Linked DNA regions of Callithrix jacchus. The protein of the gene in region 1 binds, or shares a complex with, the protein of each later gene. Links are inferred from orthologs where the notes say so. Each region holds a gene or a part of one and is shown on either strand. Other genes may lie near its edges.

Region 1 (6,526 bases):
AGCAGTATGTAAGAGGCCCTGTCCCTCTCCACTTCACCAGCACTAAGAAATGGTAGTTAGATTTCAGTGCTTACTTACCACATAGTGTGAAACAGTACCTTGGGTGGTGTCTACACAGATGGTTGTTATATTACTTTCTGTTGCTGTTTAAGACAGAATATTGTTCTGTCACCCAAGCTGGAGTGTAGTGGCATGATCATGGCTCACTGCAGCCTCTACCTCCCGGGCTCAAGCAATCCTCCCACCTCAGCCTCCCGAGTAACTGAGACCAGAGGCGTATGCCACCACACCCAGCTCATTTTTCTATTTTTTGTAGAGACAAGCTCTTGCTATGTTGCCCAGGCTGATCTCAAACTCCTGAGCTCAATCAATCTGCCTGCCTTTGCCTTCCAAAGTGCTGGGATTATAGCCGTGAGCCATCACACCAAGCCATATTACTCTCTTTGGCATGTCAGGAATATTGCATATCATACAATTATGATAAATTCTTTAATTCCATTTTTAAAAGACAAGTTACCAGCAAAAAACTAAGAAGAAGGAGGGAAAGGGGAGTGGGAAGGAGAAGAAAACGAAGAACAAGGAGGAGGGGGAAGAGGAGGAGAAGGGTTGTAACTCAGAACAGAGGACAATCCTTTCAAGAATGTCCAGTTGGGGACAGGCACAGTGGTTCATGCCTGTAATCCCAGCACTTTGGGAGGCTGAGGTGGGTGGATCACCTGAGGTTGGGAGTTCAAGACCAGCCTGGCTAATATGGTGAAATGCTGTCTTTACTAAAAATAGAATAAATTAGCTGGGTGTGGTGGCACGAGCCTGTAATCCCAGCTACTTGGGAGGCTGAGGTAGGACAATAGCTTGAACCCGGGAGACAGGGGTTGCAGTGAGCCGAGATCGTGCCATTGCACCCCAGCTTGGGCAGCAAGAGCAAAATTCTATCTCAGAAACAAAGAATGTGCAGTTAGCATCCTTACACTGACACACTCGTAGACTATACTAATCATACTGGAGCAGCACCCATTATATATTACAAATTGGTCCATTTTGCAGATAAGGAGACTGAGGCTTAGAGAGGTGAAATGACATTCAACAACTAAGTGGCCAGGCTGGGATTTTGCCTGAGCCCAAAGCCATCCTTTTCCCCACGGTGCTGTGGAGGGGGTGAAGTGAGGGAGGCAGGGGTCCTCTCTAAGAGAACCCTCTAAGAGAAAGGTGGACTAGATGACAAGAAAGGCCACCCGGAAGAGGGTTTATCCGTTCAGTCAGTGGAACAAGAGGACACACATAAGTTGAGACAGGAACTCAAGAGAAGATAGACAAGTTCTCCAGAAAAGTTTCCCAACCAATCTTTTGCCTGTATCTCTGATGGCTTCTCAGTCTCAGCTACCTGGGACTAAAGAAACAGGGATTGGAGTAGCAAGCAGAGGCAGAGATAGGAAGAAAGGTGGCCAGCCCAGCCGCATCTCTACAGACCCCTGGTCTCCTGGTGCATCCCTCCCAAATGCCTCCCACATGCCACGCACTCTGGGTGCAGCATCTCAATCCTGAGAGGTAGGCGTTATCGCCCATTTTATAGATGGGGAGATAGAGGCACAGGGAGGTTTAGTAACTGGCCTATTGTTGCAAAGACGCTGAATGACAGGGCTGGGATTCAAACCCTGGTCCACCTGGCCTGCAAACCCATGTTGTGCCTGGCAGCTTCTCAGTCACCCTGTCGGTTCCCCCACCCTTGTTACCTGTGGCTGGGAAAAGGATGGCCTGGGAGACATCCTCCTTCTCGGGTTCAGATCCCCTGCGTGTGGAGCCCCCGAGGGCATGTCTTCGGGGCAGCCGCCTGACTCCAGGGTCCCCACCTTCCTTGGTCACTGCCGGGGGCCCCAAGGCATCCAGGAACAGGGCCCTCACCTTGGCCAGAACAAGCTCCCGGGCCAGCTCTGACCCTTCGCAGCTGTGTCCACCCTGTGGGGCCAGCAGCAAGAAGAGCAGCAGTGGCAGTGCCATGGCTCACCTGGCCCTACTAGCGGGGAACCCACTCCCTGCCCTGTGCCCCTTCTGCCAGGGTGTGCCCAGGGCCTCCCTGCTTTCCCCTCCTCATCCCACACCCACCCTCTTGTATGCTTCTCACCCAGTCTTCCCCAGTCCTTCCCACGCCCCACAGTCCGAGTTGCCCCTGCCCGTGGCATTGAGACCTCCTATCTCTGACGTAGATGCCTGTGGCCATGAGCCTTATCTCCCACTCCCGCCAGGAATGTGGGGGAGGGGCTGGAGAGGGTTTCGCCCCAAGCGACCCGACCCTCATGCAAACATACAACCCCTTCTCCCTGCACACATACACACAAACACACACACACACATCCAGAGGGGACATCAACTCCCTATTCACACACACACACACACACACACACACACACAGTCTCACATCCAGAAGTGACATCAAGCCTGGGAGCTGTAGCCGGCCAGCCCCAGAAAGTGTCATTTGTCCAGGAGACAGAGTGCACCACCCCTCAGACCTTCTGGGGCCCCTTTCAATGAGCAGCTGCTGGGCAGGCCAGCCACTGGGGGAAGGGCTGGGGCCAGGGCTAGAACCGGAGCTAGGGCGGGGGCCAGGTGGTCCCGCCTGCTCTATACTTAGCCCAGAGGAGCCAGTCTGGGCTCTTGTCCTCCAGCTGTGTCATCAGAGAATATTTTTGGGATTGGCAGCTGCAGGCGCCTCTGCCACTCAGGCCCAAGCCTGGCGGGCAGGCGGCTGGGGACCTGGTGACTGGAGGTGGGAGGGAGGAGGGGAAAGAGGCCCAAGCTGTGGGAGGGGGCTGGGAAGAGAGCCTCCCCAGAGCAGGAAGCCAGGCCGCAGGCAGAGGAGGCTGCGGGGCCCCTCGCTGGAGAGCCAAACAGGAAGGACTGCCCCCTAAGTGCCGGGCTCTGGGTCAGGGAATCGCCGCCGCCGCAGAGTTGCAGCTCCAGACCGAGGACAGGGAGGCGAGCAGGGAGCGGGCAGCCTGGGAGAACTCCGCGGATCCCCGCGCCCCGGTCCCGGAGCCCTCGCCGCCGCCTCCGGCCTCGGCTCGCCCTCCGCCCACCCTCCCTGGTTCGCCACTGCGGGCGGTCTGTGGCCGCCGCGATGAAGGCAAGCTCGGGGGACCAGGGGAGCCCCCCGTGCTTCCTGCGCTTCCCGCGGCCCGTGCGGGTGGTAAGTGGCGCCGAGGCCGAGCTCAAGTGCGTGGTCCTGGGGGAGCCGCCGCCCGTCGTGGTGTGGGAGAAGGGCGGGCAGCAGCTGGCGGCCTCGGAACGCCTGAGCTTCCTGGCGGACGGCGCGGAGCACGGCCTGCTGCTGAACGGCGCGCTGCCCACCGACGCGGGGGTCTACGTGTGCCGCGCCCGCAATGTGGCCGGAGAGGCCTACGCGGCGGCCGCCATCACCGTGCTGGAGCCGCCGGCCTCCGAGCCCGAGCCGCAGCCCGCCGAGCTCCCGCTGCCGCCGCCGGGGTCCGGGGAGGGCGCCCCGGTCTTCCTGGCGGGGCCGCGGTCCCAGTGGGTGCTGCGGGGGGCGGAGGTGGTGTTGACGTGCCAGGCCGGGGGCCTCCCCGAGCCCACGCTGTACTGGGAGAAGGACGGGATGGCGCTGGACGAAGTGTGGGACAGCAGCCACTTCGCTCTGGAGCCTGGCCGGGCCGAGGACGGCCCGGGCGCGAGCCTGGCGCTGCGCATCCTGGCCGCGCGGCTGCCGGACTCCGGTGTCTACGTGTGCCACGCCCGCAACGCGCACGGCCACGCGCAGGCTGGCGCGCTGCTCCAGGTGCAGCAGCCCCCTGAGAGCCCGCCCGCGGACCCCGATGAGGCCCCCGCGCCCGTGGTGGAGCCGCTCAAGTGCGCGCCCAAGACCTTCTGGGTGAACGAGGGCAAGCACGCCAAGTTCCGCTGCTACGTGATGGGCAAGCCCGAGCCCGAGATCGAATGGCACTGGGAGGGCCTCCCGCTGCTCCCGGACCGCCGCCGCCTAATGTACCGCGACCGCGACGGCGGCTTCGTGCTCAAGGTGCTCTACTGCCAGGCCAAGGACCGCGGGCTCTACGTCTGCGCCGCGCGCAACTCCGCGGGCCAGACGCTCAGCGCAGTGCAGCTGCACGTGAAAGGTACGGCAGCGCCCGGGGCCCGGGGAGCGGCCTTGAGTGTCCTCGGAGGCCCGCCGAACCCCGGCCCCTCTCGGTGCCCGGCGCTGCCCTGAAGACTGGGGGAGGGGAGGTCGGCGGGAATATTAAAAGACCCAACCCGCCTGCCTCCCACTCCCCAGGGATTCGGATTTAGTAGGTCTCCAGGGTGCTCAGCAACTTCTTAGAAAACTCCCCAAGTGATTCTGAGGCAGATGGTGGAACACCACTAAGAAGTGATTGATGTACAAACCTAGAAGGGCCTAGAACTCTTCTCCCCTAGTGGTTTTCATCGTCTTTGTTATTTTACTCCTCCTTCCCCAACTGAATTCACAACCGGAGCCCCAATAGATGAAACAGATAAAGGAGTGTTTTATGGGTGTAAATTGCTAAGTCTACGTGTGTAACAGGCTTCTAAAGCATCAGTGAGAATCAGGAGGCCGTTTTATTGAATATAGGCATTTGAAGTGAAGGCTGCATTCGTGGTTCAGGCTCTGAACCCCGTGGAGAGGGGACGGCCTGGCTGCATCTGTCACCTTGAGAAACCACCGTTTCAGTGGAAAGGTAGACTTGAGGGTGGACAAATTTCCTGAATGTTTTTACTGTTCTTTGATTAAACTGCTCCCCACTTTTGAAAGAAGAGGAAGGTGAAGGAACAATATCCAATAAATGCTTACATTCTCATAAACAGAAAATTCAAAGGGAAAAAAACACACCCCAAACTCACTGGAAGGTAACAGTCTCCATAACAGTATTTCATCACAGTGCAAAGGATTACGCCTTCACTAGTTGTCCAGATTTTTCTCTAGGAGGAAAAACAAAGTTGGTAAATTATCCTGAGTCCTGCCTGGCATGCAGTCAAGCATGTGGCCCCCCCAGGCTGTGGTGGTGGCCTCACTGGTACAGTTCGATGTGCACAGATTCGCCAGGCTGATGTGGATCTGGACCTCCATCAGGGAGGAAAAGCCCTGAGGGAGGGCTAGAGGTGCTTCCCAGAGTTGCACACACAAAAAAAACTTGCTTTTCCAGCAATCTAAGTTAACCTGGTTTCTAACATCCTGTTTTCTTTTTTTTGAAATACACTTTTTTTTTTTTGAGACAGAGTTTTGCTCTTGCTGCCCAGGCTGGAGTGTAATGGTGCAATCTTGGCTTACCGCAACCTCTGCCTCCCAGGTTCAAGCCATTCTCCTTCCTCAGCCTCCCAAGTAGCTGGGATTAGAGGCATGCGCCACAGTACTCTGCTAATTTTGTGTTTTAGTAGAGATGGGATTTCTCCTTGTTGCTCAGGCTTGTCTCGAACTCCCGACCTCAGGTGATCCACCCACTTTGGCCTCCCAAATTGCTGAGATTACAGGCAGGAGCCACCTTGCCTGACCGAAATACACTTTTGAAAAGAGTTAAAATATTTTAAATTCTACTCAGGCCTTTGTGGAATATATGAAATACCTGGGGGAGTGGGGGCAGGAACAGTTTGGAAATCACCAATGTGGTCCAACCCTTTCCCTCTCTGTTCCCATTTTCCAAGTAAGGAGACTGAGGCTCAGAAACATTGAAATGGACTCTCAAGGTGATGCGGCTAGTAAGTGTCAGGCCCGGATGAGAACTTAGGCCATCTTAGGAACTACCACTTGCCTTCTGGTGGTTTTCTGTGATTCCACTGTGCCTGCTGGCTCTGCGTGAAGAGCACCCAGCCTGAACTAATGCGCTCTGAGGAGTCCTCCTCCTAGTCTAGCCCTTCTCCAGAGCCCTCTCTTGTCTCTCCCCTCTCCATAGAGCCCCGCCTCCGGTTCACAAGGCCCCTGCAGGATGTGGAGGGCCGTGAGCACGGGATTGCCGTGCTGGAGTGTAAAGTACCCAACTCCCGCATCCCCACGGCCTGGTTCCGAGAGGACCAGCGGCTGCTGCCCTGCCGCAAGTACGAGCAGATTGAAGAGGGCACCGTCCGGCGCCTCATCATCCACAGGCTGAAGGCAGACGACGACGGTGTCTACCTGTGTGAGATGCGGGGCCGGGTGCGCACTGTGGCCAATGTCACAGTCAAAGGTCGGCTGGCCCACAGGGAAGGGGCTGAGGCAGAGGCAGGCAGGTGCTCAGACTCCAGGCTGATGGATTCCTGTCTGCATCTCAGGGCCCATCCTGAAGCGCCTGCCCCGGAAGCTTGATGTCCTGGAAGGAGAGAATGCGGTGCTGCTGGTGGAAACTCTAGAGGCCGGGGTCCAGGGACGGTGGAGTCGTGATGGAGAGGAGCTGCCGGCCATCTGCCAGACCACCTCGGGCCACATGCATGCACTGGTCCTTCCAGGGGTCACCCGAGAAGATGCTGGCGAGGTCACCTTTAGCCTGGGCAACTCCCATACCACTGCGCTGCTCAGAGTCAAATGTGAGGG
Region 2 (6,253 bases), on another chromosome or scaffold:
GCATGGTGGCTCACACCTGTAATCCCAGCACTTTGGGAGGCCAAAGTGGGTGACTGCCTGAGCTCAGGAGTTTGCAACCAGCCTGGGCAACAGTGAAACCCCATCTCTACTAAAAAAAAAAAAATACAAAAATTAGCTGGGTGTGGAGGCGGGTGCCTGTAGTCCCAGCTACTTAGGAGGCTGAGGCAAGAGAATTGTTTGAACTCAGGAGGCAGAGGTTGCAGTGAGCTGAGATCGAGCCACTGTACTCCAGCCTGGGAGACAGGGCGAGACTCTGTCTCAAAAAAAGAAAAAAGAAAAAGAAGGAATTAATGCATAATACACCACAGACCCTCTTTTGGGCCTTTTCCTAGTGCAGTGAGTTTCCAAAGTCCTGCAGCCAAGTTGCCCAGATGTTTGTGGCACCTGATCCAAACAGAATTCAGAGCCACACAGACAGCGCTAGCAAATCCACATCTCTGGCGTCGAGGGCCCCAGAATCTGTTTTTTGAATGCACCTTCTGGATGCCTTTACTGTACCTTATCACCAAGATCGGGTGAGGTGTGAAAACCCAGGGCCCTGTCCCCTCCAAAGCAGCAGAGCCCAGGCGCACGAGGATGACAAGTGAAGTGACAACAAAAACACATGTGTCTCCACCACCAAGGATGGGAGTGGAACGGACAGCAAGGGCCAGGTCACCCCCACAGCATTCGTCACTTGCCAAGTCCAAAGCTAAGAAATCAGTTCGTGAATGTTTTATTTCTATGTTGGCTCAAGCCTTCTTTTTAAGTCCAAGGAGGCAGTCAACATTAAGTGTGCAGGCGAAGGGAGATGGAAACAGAGGCGGTTTCCCCCCTGCCCTCCCTCTCTCCTGTTTCAAACTGAGCACCTTGAGTTGCATCTGAGAAAGCTAAAACTATGGGTGATGCCACCCTATCCTATCGATTTCTTTCCTTACATTCTTTGGGTTGCTACAAGGAATCAGTCTTTTTTTAAAAAATCAGGTGGTGCACATGGTGGCTCACATCTGTAATCCCAGTGCTTTGGGAGGCCGAGGCAGGAGGATCACTTGAGGCCAGAAGTTTGAGGCTGCAGTGAGTTACGATCATGCCACTGCACTCCAGCCTGGGCAACAGAGTGAGACCCTGTCTCTAAAAAATAACAACAAAAAAAATCAAAGCATGAGACTAGATTTTAACAAGAGAATAAAGAGGGTGCTTAGGTGGAGATGTGGGCAGCATCCACCTCCGTTTTCAAGTTCAGAGGCAGAAAGATCAACCTCTCTCCCCCACACGGAGGGAGGGCCTGTGCGCTGTCCCTAGCTCCCACTTCACAGCTGGTCTTCTTGCTCTCCCTGCTCAGCTTCTGCTCTGCCCTCAGCCCTCAGCACTCTGAGGTTCCTGGCCTCACCGGCCCTGGGGACTCTCTTGGGCAGGGTTGGCAACCGGGGAGTGTGCCAGAAGGCTCTCCGGTGCTTGCGAAACCACGAAAAGCGTCCAGGGGTCTGGAACCTCACTGTCTTGACCTGTTTCCGGGCCCTGGCTCCTGAAGCTGTCCCTGTGGTCCCTTGGGCAGCTGAAGCTTCAGCTTCCTGGATGCCTGGGGCACCTGCCCTCTGATTATGTGCAGCCTGGGCCCTCCGATTATCTGCACCCTGGACAGCTGGGGACCTTTCCCTCTGGTCATGTACGGCCTCTTCCCTTTGATTATCTGCAGCCTCTAACCCCTGGTCAGCTGGGGCCTCTGCCCTCTGATTATCTGCAGCCTCTGACCCCTGGTCAGCTGGGGCCTCTGCCCTCTGATTATCTGCAGCCTCTGACCCCTGGTCAGCTGGGGCCTCTGCCCTCTGATTATCTGCAGCCTCTTCCCTCTGGTTATCTTCACCCTCTGGCCCCTGGTCAGCTGCGGCCTCTTCCCTCTGATTATCAGCAACCTCTTCTCTCTGGTTATCTGCAGCCTCTGGCCCCTGGTCAGCTGGGGCCTCTTCCCTCCGGTCAGCTATGGCCCCTTCCCTCTGATTATCTGCAGCCTCTCCCCCATGATTAGCCTGGAAGTCTGCCCCCTGACCTGTGGATGCTGTCTGCTCCTTTCTGTGGAGTCGAAAGGAGGCCCAGTTGATCTTGGGCCTCCATCGCCTGGGGGAGGTCTGGGGCGCACAGGCATCTCCCGCGTTTCCCACGCGATCCCTGGGGCTGGTGCCCTCTGGCGCGGATGATACTCCTGCGCTCCCTGATGCGGTGGAGGACAGCCGGGCCTCACCCACCCCGGGTCCCGCCCTCGGCGCCCAACCCTTCACCCTCCGCTTCAGCTTCCCCCAGGACACCTGGCCGACATACTCCCGCCACCTGTCCGCCTTGGACAGCCGAGGCCCCAGGTTGTCCTCAAACATCGGCACTGGCCGGTTGACGCGACGGCGGGCAGGCGGCGCACTGGGCTGCTTCTCCTCTCGCCGGAGGAAGGCCTCGACCAGTTCCTCATCATCCTCGCTCTCCAGATCGCTGCCCAGGAACTTGCTGCCCAGGTAGCTGACCGGCATCCTGCGCACCGCCTTGCCCCGCCGCGGGCCTTGGCGGCTCTGGTCTCTGGAGGTCTCGAAGTCGCTCAACTCACTGTCGCTGGCATTGCTGCTGTCGTAGGTGCCCACGACCAACCGGGGCGGAGGAGTCACCATCTGCTGCACTCTTCTCCTCACTCGGGGCTCCCTGGGCTTTCTGGGGGGCTGGGGCGGGTGCGGGGTGCTCTTCTCGATGATTCGGGCCACGTCCTCCAGGGTGCGGCCTTCTTCTTCCAGGAACTGGATCAGCCGCTCCCGAAATTCTGCTTCCTTGGTGGCGGGCTTGGAGATGACTCTCCAGACGCCCCCGGCCAGCCTGACCTCCCGGGGGATGAGCAAATAATCGACGTCCTCCCCAATCTGCAGCATCCCCACCGTGGAGTCCTCCTCCTTGCGGAACACCTTCCCGATCTTCTTAAAAGTCCCCACGGGCTTCAGGGCTTCCACGAGGACGTCCAAATCCACATCTTTGCAGACATCGGGGACGCTCCAAAGAATTAGGCAGTCGGGGGACGGGAGGAAGCCCCAGGGGAACCAGCCCCCCACGTGGCTTTTCTCGAGAGTCTTTAAGATCTCCAGAGTGGTATCTGAGGTGAGGGGGCAATGAGCCCCAACAAGCTACAGTCTTGAGGGAGGGACTGGAGGCCGGGGGAGTGCCAGCAACGCTGATCGGAGAGTCTCCTCCCCAGGCCAGGGACGAGCCCACGCCTCCTATCTCTTCGCCTGTACCAAGTCCAGTGTTGACCAAGTCCTGCTCCCTTGCCACGGACTTGGAGGAATCAATTTCCAGGATGCTTACGTGGGCGGGGGCGAGGTCAGTCCCGAGGCTCAAGGCCCACTCCAAGCTGGAAACGTGGTGGTCCAGCTCCAAGTTGGGGCGCGCGAGCTGCCAGCGATTCTTCCTGCCCCAGGCACCGGGGACGCGGCTGGAACTTGGAAGAGGAATTCGCAGACAAAGACGGTCCAGCCCAGGCTATTCAATATGGCCGAGGGGCTGGGAGGCCTCAGCCGGGCCCCGCAGTTGGGTACCCCGCCCCCAGGCAGGCCGCCACCCAGCTCCAGGCTGACCTTGACACGCTGCAGCCTGCCAGGCCGCGCGCTTAGGGCTCTGCACCTTGGAGCGCAGGGGCAGGAAGTTCCTCCTCGCCTTCCCCTAGAACGAGGCCCACCTTCCCCGTCTCATCTTACACTCCCGGACTCGGGAAGACTGACAGGGGGGCTGTCCACTCCCTTCGGGGCGGCCTCCCTCCCCTCCCCCACAGGGGTGTGGCCGCGTCCCGGGCCTAACTGGGCCCATTGCTTCCCAGCGAAGCGGCTGTAGCCCACGTCAGCACCTTTCCTGAAAGGCAGCGGTTTCCAGACCTGCCCTCCGAAATGGACAAGTCCCAGCCAAACCCCGGAGGTGGCTGTGCTAGTGGATTCGACCTTTTGAGGGCCACTGGCACTATAGATGAGCATGTTAAATTCACGCGACCATCGGTACCCGTACACCCACACACGTGGGTAGAGAAATGGGTACCAGGTTCTTATTGCAACAGTCCCACTGTGGCGCGTGGCACAAGGTCGGGGCTCAATGCATAGTTTTGAGTGGATGAATAACCTAAACGTTCATGGCCCGGGGCGGTGGCTCACACCTGTAATCTCAGCACTTTGGGAGGCCGAGGCGGGTGGAACAAACACTTGAGGCCAGCAGTTCGAGAGAAGCCTGGCCAACGTGGTGAATCCCTCCTCTGTACAAAAAAAAAAAAAAAAAAAAAAAAAATACAAACATTTGCCGGGCTCGGCCGGGGGCAGTGGCTCAGGCCTGTAATCCCAGCACTTTGGGAGGCTGAGGTGGGCAGATCACGGGGTCAGGAGACAGACCATCCTGGCTAACACGGTGAAACCCTGTCTCTACTAAAAATACAAAAAAATTAGCCAGGCATGGTGGTCGGTGCCTGTAATCCCAGCTACTCAGCAGGCTGAGACAAGAGAATCACTTGAACCCGGGAGGCGGAGGTTGCAGTGAGCCAAGATCAGCCACTGCACTGCACTCCATCCTGAGCAACAGTGAGACTCGTCTCAAAAATAAAAAAGAAATTAGCCAGGCGTGGTGGTGCCCGTGCGTAGTCTCAGCTACTCTGGAGGCTGAGGCAGGAGAACTGCTTAAACCCAGGAGGTGGAGGTTGCAGTGAGCCAAGATCGAGCCACTGCACTCTAGCCTGGGTGACAGACCTAAATTCCGTATAAAATAAAAATTTAAAAAATAGCCGGGCGTAGTGGTGTGTGTGTGTAGTCCCAGCCACTCTGGAGGCTGAGGCAGGAGAATCTCTTGAAGCTGGAGGTGGAAGTTGCAGTGAGCCGAGACTGGGCCACTGCACTCCAACCTGGGTGACAGAGGGAGACTCTGTCTCAAAAAAAACAAAAGTGCAAAGAGCACAACAACAACAACAACAAAATCCCTAAAAGTTCATGAGCAGAGACTGCCTCTATGTGATGGTAGTGTCTTACAGTGAAATATTTCGCAGCGTTGAACAAAACGAGATGGCTAACCGTAGGCCCGGCTTATGAGGCACTTCCTACCTTTCTAAGAATGAACTTGAGAAATCCTTGCTATGACAGGAAACTCGTAACATGAGTACCATTCCCATTAGACAGCTGAGGAAACTGAGGCCCAAAGACATAAAACCACTCTCTCAAGGTCAAGTCAGGAAGTGGTTGTTTGGATTTGAATCCAGAATAACCTGCCTTCGGTGTCAACATGTGTACCAATGCTGGTCACATGTACAAGTATTGCCAAGAGTGGCTGTTTCTAGGGAGGAGGACTGGGAGTCCCCAAAAGGTGGGGGAGAGACATGTACTTTTCACTCTATACCCTTTTGGAATGATTGAATTTTTAGCAATCAAAAATGTTAATTAAAGCCTAGTGAGGTAGTCCAGGCCTATAATCCTAGCACTTTGAAAGGCCACGGCCAATGAATCGCTGGAGCCCAGGAGTTCCAGACCAGCCAGGGCAACGCGATGAAACCCCATCTCTACAAAAAGTCAAAAAGGTATTGGGAGGTGATGACGCAGTAGTCCCAGCTACTGGGGAGGCTGAGGTGGGAAGGTAGCTTGAGCCCAGGAGGTTGAGGCTCCAGTGAGCTGTGATCATGTCACCACACTCCAGCCTGGGTGACAGAGTGAGATGCTGTCTCAAAAAAAAAAAAGAAAGAAAAAGAAAGGTAATTAAAATACACATAAAAACAACAAACAAACTTACATAAAATCGAAAGTCAGACCACACAACGCACATAAAGGGTCGGAATGCCCAGGATGTGGGGAATGTGGGGAATTTGCAGTGTCTCAGGTAATTCTGAGACAACCAGCTCGGCAAATGTACACCAACCACAACAGTGGGACTAGTAGTAATAACAGTTAACTTGCATTGAGTGTATCTTTGGAACAAGGCATCCAGAGATATGCTGAATGGGCCTCGTTGTTAGGAATCCTCAGAGGTGCATGGTAAGACGAGTGCCATCACGATCATCTTTTTACGGATGGGGAAACCGCGGCTGGTCTGAAGTCGGAAGGCTGAGGCAGGAGAATCGTTTGAACCCAGGGAAGCAGAGGCTGCAGTGACCCGAGATCGCGTCATCGCACTCCAGCTTGCGCAACAAGAGCGAACCTCTGTCTCAAAAACAAAAACAAAGACAAAAGTTAGCAGGGTGTGGTAGCACATGCCTGTAATCCCAGCTACT
Region 3 (5,793 bases), on another chromosome or scaffold:
TTCCTTCCTTCCTTCCTTCCTTCCCTCTCTCCCTCCCTCCATCCCTCTTTCTTCCTTCCTTCCGTTTTCGAGATGGAGTCTTACTCTGTCACCCAGGCTGAACCTCGGCTCACTGCAACCTCCACCTTCTGGGTTCAAGCAGTTCTCATGCCTTACTCTCCTAAGTAGCTGGGATTATAGGTATGTGCCACCATGACCAGCTAATTTTTGTATTTTCAGTAGAGACGGGGTTTCGCCATGTTGGCCAGATTGCTCTCAAACTCCTGACCTCAAGTGATCCACCCACCTCGGCCTCCCACTGTGCCTGACCCCTATAAGGAATATGAAAAAGTAATATGAGATGCTAACTGAAGACAATCAATATTAAATCAGCTTTCTTTTTAAACATGTGTTACTATATAATAAATTTTATTTTATTTATTTATTTATTTTAGACACAAGGTCTTGCTTTGTTGTCCAGTGTAGAGTATAGTAGTGCGATCATAGTTCACTGCAGCCTTGAACTCCTGGGCTCAAATGATCCTCCTGCCTCAGTCTGCTGAATAGCTGAGACTATAGGCATGCACTACAATGCCTGGCTAATTTTTTTGATTTTTTTTTTTTTAGAGATGGGATCTCACTGTGTTGCCCAGGGTGGTCTCGAACTCCTGGACTCAAGAGATCTGCCCACCTCTGCCTCCCAAAGTGCTGGGATTACAGGTGTAAGCCCCCGTGCTCAGCCCACAAATACAATTTTTATTGTTTCTAACCACCTCTATCCCTCCTTCTACTTTATCCAAGATTGGGAGGTACATCACATACACACATATAATTACTTTATTACTGGTTTTATTCTGTTGGTTACTTTGCAAGTAGAGATGAAATATATGATTAAGCAACTACATGTGCATTGCATGAATTTCAGAGGCATTTATAAGAAGCATATTAATATTCTGTTAGCGAAGACAAGCTAGGCTCTGGCATAGATGAAATGGCTTTTAGAGACAAGATGATCTGTGTTATTGGTGATGTACCACTTCATGGAATCAGGATGGCCCTTCATAGTCCCAGGATGAGCACGAAATTAGAATGGAGTTTCACACAATGGGAAATATCTGAGGAAACTTGGACTCCTGAAGATGAAAAGGCTACGGATGCACAGAATCTGGATAAGTGATGAAGGTCTGTAAAATGACAGCTATGGAAGGTTAGACATCACCTAGAGTCAGAGAAAATATTCATCTAAGGATGCAATAATCCAGGAATAGTGGAAGCTTTAAACAATTTCTAGAGAGGATGACATCTTCCTTTCTAACATAGAAAAATCCATTTTTCCTCTATGCAGTTGTGCATGAGGAACTTACCAATAGCAGCTTTGACTTCAATAGCTTCTGAATCCTGGGAATATTCACTAAGTCCAGCTGCATTGACTGCTCTGACCCGGAAAATATAACTCTGACCAGTCACCAATCCATGACAAGTAAATCTAAAAGAAAACAAATTTTTTTAAAATTTTTCTTAGGAGGAAGATTAAGGAAGATTATTGTTAGCTTAATGGAGTAGATCTGGCGTTATGAAAACAATTATTATTATTTTTTTGGGGGGGAATTTATGATCAATAGAAACAGGGTCTTGCTGTTTTGCCCAGGCTGGTCTTAAACTCCTGGCCTCAAGCCATCCTCCCTCCCACCTCAGCTTCCCAAAGTGCTGGGATTACTGGTGTAAGCAGCATGTCCAGCTAATAATTCTTTTTTTTTTTTTTTGAGTCAGAGTCTTGTTCTGTTGCCTAGGCTGGTATGCAGCGGTGAGATCTCGGCTCACTGCAAGCTCCACCTCCTGGATTCAAGCGATTCTCCTGCATCAGCCTCCCAAGTAGCTGGGACCATACGTGTGTGATAATTCATTTTTTGAAAGAAAGAAAAAGATGTAGAAAGATTCAGGTAACATATATACTTTAGAAAGAAGGTAACTAAGGTGCTTTTCTAAACCTACTTTGTCAAAAAATGAGGAGCCCTGGTCTTCCTCTGAATGCTCACCGGTAAAATAGGGATAATGATGCTTACATGATAATATTCATGTAGAGTTAATTATAAAGTATATGAAGTACCTATTATACGGTCTGGCATATATGAGGCATTTAATAAATAATAGTTAATAGTAATAATGTTATTTAAGAAATAATTTTAGAGTATAACTCACATATAGTTTTTAACTTTTAGGCTCAGGGATACATGTGAAGGTTTGTTATATTGGTAAACTCATGTCACAGGAGTTTGTTGTACAGATTATTTTATCATCCAGGTATTAAGCCTGATATCCAATTAATAATATGATTAATTGGTGGCTCCTTGTCATAGAGGCTAGTCACTGTCTCCCTGGATGCCAAGGAAGGTACTTACTTGGGAAATCACTCTAGAATCTGAAGATAAGGTGAACAATGAATTCTAGAATTACTATTTAGATATGAGGATCCAATAATGAAGTGTGAATCCATGGGCAGTTTCATCCACAAGACAACCTCACTCTTTTCATAGCTATCATGGCTATAAATAGCTGTTCATGAATCACTGTAACATTTGAATCCATCCTAAGGATTGCAGCCAGAGGAAGTAACAGGTCTGCTAATGAATCTATGACTATTAGCATGTTCAAGTATTTAATAAAGGAGCCATAATCCAGGCCAGTCCTTCAGTCCTTAGGGTCAGCTTGCTTCAGCGAAGATTTATTGAGGTCTCCGTGTTCCAGACACTGAGCTAGGAGTTACTGTGGACAAAAGATGAACAAAAAATGGTTCCTGCCCCCCAGCAGCTCCTGCCTACACACCACCAGTGTTTCTAAATGGTCCTAGGAAAATGCTGGGTAACTCAGAGGAAAAATGAAATGCACCAACAGGCTAAATGAATCTTTTTCAAAACATATTGCCTTCCCTAATTAATCTGTTTGCCTCTATTCTCTCATGTTGTGCAAAACCAACTCATCCTATGGGGGGGTCCTCGGATTGAGAAGTGATCCAAGCCAGAAGCTGCCGAACAAAACTATTTGACAATTTTGGGGACGGTGGCATCCCCGTCTCAGACTGGTCTCTGGTCTGGGTGTAGACCAGAATTCACCATCAATGTGCAAAGCCGATTGATAAAATAGTTGAAAGCAAGGAAAAAACCAATGCTCCCCCATTAAAAACAGATACAAAGAGGCAGCAAAGTATTGTGAATATCTTAGTTTTGGTGTTACTTATGTCTGTGTAGCATTTGGGTTTAATCATGTTGATGTTCAGAATTTGTAAAATGTTGATACTTTTTCTCTCTTCATTTAAAATTCCTGGGTGATTTATGTTAAGTAGAGTATGTTAGATCCTCAGAATCTAGTATCAGGTTTCATATTACATACAAAATCAGAGGGGTAAAAAAGGAAGAAGCAGCATAAAGGAAAAAAACGGAAAAGCACTATTAAATGAACTCTTACAATAGCTGGCATTATATGTTGCTAAGTGTTTCATCACAAGTAAACCTTTTTAAAAAGATGTATTGCATCTAATATGTTCAATTTTAAATTCATTTAAATGTCTTAAGTGTAATCGGTTTTTTTGTTTTTTTTTTTTGAGACGGAGTCTCATTCTGTCTCCAGGCTGGAGTGCAGTGGTGTGATTATAGCTCACTGCAGCCTCGACCTCCCAGGCTCAAGTAATTCTCCCACCTCAACCTCTTGAGTAGCTAGGACTATAGGCACACTACTATGCTGGGCTGATTTTTATGTTTTTTGTAGAAGTGGGTTTTTGCCATGTTGCCCAGGCTGGTCTCAAATGCCTAGGCTCGAGCAATCTGCTCACCCTGACCTCCCAAAGTGTTGAGATTACAGGTATGAGCCATCATACCCAGCCTTGTTCTGATTTCCTTTTTTAGAGATGGGTCTTCCTATGTTGCCTGGGATGGAATATACTGGCTATTTACAGGCCTGGTCAATGGGTACTACAGCTTCCAACTCCTCAGCTCAAGTGATCCACCCACCTCAGCTTCCTGAGTAGCTAGGAGTACAGGCCTGTCACTGCATCTGGCTTATTTAAAGTATAATGTTATTTTGTTATTTTTATTTTTAAAGATGGGGTCTCACTGTTGGCCAGGTTGGTCTTTAACTTCTGGCTTTAAGCAATCTTCCCACTTCAGTCTCCCAACGTGCTAGGATTACAGGTGTAAGCCACCGCATCCGGCCAAAAAGTATAATGTTTTTTTAAAAAATCTCCCTCACTGGATGTCTGTGTGCCATGTGTGTCTATAGCAGCTCCAGAGGCCATGGCCCGCTCTGCACGCCTGGTTCAGTTACCGTGAGCCCTTCACAGGGTTGTTGTTACAGGGCTCCCATTTGCCAGAGCCAGCAACGCTCGCCTCTATGTAGTACCCGACCAGCTCTTTGGCATCTTTGGACTCCTCCCACGTAACTACTACTGAGGTGTCTGTGTTTCTGCTTGGGATGATGTTGCCAGGAGCCTTGGGGATATCTGAGAAAGAGGAAAACAGTGATCAAACTCAGGTGGTTTTAAAAAGTCATCCTTATCACCTATGCACAAACAGACCCCCAGGTATTTTACACACTTCATCATGTCAAAAGGACAGCTGCTTTTATGGTTTTTTTTTTTTTGAGACCGAGTCTTGCTCTGTTGCCCAGGCTGGAGAGCGATGGCAGTGAGCAGTACAGGCTCAGCTCACTACAGCCTTCACTTCCCGGGTTCAGGCAATTTTCTTGCCTCAGTCTCCCAAGTAGCTGGGATTACAGGCATGCGGCAGGATTCCCAGCTAATTTTTGTATTTTCAGTAGAGATGGGGTTTCACCATGTTGGCCAGGCTGGTCTCAAACTCCTGGACTCAGGTGATCTGCCTGCCTTGGCCTCCCAATGTGCTCAGATTACAGGGGTGAGCCACCAGGCCTGGCCTACATTGTATCTTTTAAAGCAGAAAATTAAAAAACTGTTAGTAAGGGAGCATGGATACACTAAATATCTATGAACTTCAGAAAAAAACACATTATCAATATTGTTGAAACTCCCAAGGAAGTTTACTTTTCATTAACAAAAACACTGAATTGTTGTTTAATGTATAGGCTAAGTTTATAATGTGAAAGAACTAAATTTATAATGTGAAAGAAAGATGTCACCATTTTTACTCCTGGCCAAATATACATATACAACTTAGATTCCTGCTTTAAAATTTTCTCTTAAAGTAAAAGAAGTTTACAGTTGCTTACCAAGTTTGTCCCCTACCACAGTCACCTCCGTTGCCTCGGAGGGCTCACCAACTCCTGCAGAATTAGAACAGCGGACGCGGAAACAGTAGGATTTCCCCTCAACCAGGTCGAACAGTGCAAAGCGGGGAGACTTCACAGGGAGCTCCGTGTTCACTCGCTGCCAATTTTCTGTTCCTGCCTCACACTGTAGCAAAAACAAGGAAACCCACTGAAAGCACAGCAAGCACAGGCGAGGCATCCCCAAGTTTCATTCATCTGCAGCAAACCACTCCCTGTAATGTGAGCTGGACTGGAGGAGAGATTTGGAGGAAATGGGGGATGAGGCATCTAAAGTTCTCAGGATTCGCTAAATCAAATATGGCTTTTGATATGGTTTGGCTGTGTCCCTGCCCAAATCTCATCTTGAATTGTAGCTCCCATAATTCCCATGTGTGTGGGAGGGACCTGGTAAGAGATAATTGAATCATGGGGATGGTTCCCCCCATACTGTTCTTGTGGTAGTGAATAACTCTCACGAGACCTGATGGTTTTAGAAGAAATTTCTTTCACTTGGCTCTCATTCTCTCTCTTCCCTATCGC

What was found.
Region 2: OBSL1 (region 1) and CCDC8 share a complex: the UniProt entries of both Homo sapiens proteins name them as parts of the 3M complex. The link is inferred for Callithrix jacchus from reciprocal best matches to the Homo sapiens genes OBSL1 and CCDC8.
Region 3: the proteins of OBSL1 (region 1) and MYOM1 are in contact, whole or in part, in a crystal structure (PDB 5FM5), measured with the Homo sapiens proteins. The link is inferred for Callithrix jacchus from reciprocal best matches to the Homo sapiens genes OBSL1 and MYOM1. Residues at the interface, in NP_056126.1 of Homo sapiens: Pro243, Lys253, Phe255, Val257, Asn258, Gly260, Lys261, His262, Ala263, Lys264, Phe265, Arg266, Cys267, Tyr268, Val269, Met270, Gly271, Lys272, Pro273, Pro275, Trp279, Lys305, Tyr308, Tyr317, Cys319, Ala321, Arg322, Asn323, Ser324, Ala325; in NP_003794.3 of Homo sapiens: Arg616, Pro617, Ser618, Ala619, Pro620, Trp621, Thr622, Gly623, Gln624, Ile625, Ile626, Val627, Thr628, Glu629, Glu630, Glu631, Pro632.

Annotation. Positions count from the first base shown.
Region 1 is NC_133507.1:141,311,166-141,317,691, reverse strand, and holds the start of OBSL1 (obscurin-like protein 1), read left to right. Parts: upstream 1-2,940; 5' UTR 2,941-3,112; coding exon 3,113-4,124; intron 4,125-5,912; coding exon 5,913-6,182; intron 6,183-6,267; coding exon 6,268-6,519; intron 6,520-6,526. Other genes in the region: INHA (inhibin alpha chain), read right to left, coding at 1,731-1,995. UniProt on the Homo sapiens protein: Core component of the 3M complex, a complex required to regulate microtubule dynamics and genome integrity. It is unclear how the 3M complex regulates microtubules, it could act by controlling the level of a microtubule stabilizer.
Region 2 is NC_133523.1:40,426,210-40,432,462, forward strand, and holds CCDC8 (coiled-coil domain-containing protein 8), read right to left. Parts: upstream 3,647-6,253; 5' UTR 2,904-3,646; coding exon 1,311-2,903; 3' UTR 721-1,310; downstream 1-720. UniProt on the Homo sapiens protein: Core component of the 3M complex, a complex required to regulate microtubule dynamics and genome integrity. It is unclear how the 3M complex regulates microtubules, it could act by controlling the level of a microtubule stabilizer.
Region 3 is NC_133514.1:60,440,109-60,445,901, reverse strand, and holds part of MYOM1 (myomesin-1), read right to left. Parts: intron 5,399-5,793; coding exon 5,215-5,398; intron 4,472-5,214; coding exon 4,297-4,471; intron 1,466-4,296; coding exon 1,344-1,465; intron 1-1,343. UniProt on the Homo sapiens protein: Major component of the vertebrate myofibrillar M band. Binds myosin, titin, and light meromyosin. This binding is dose dependent.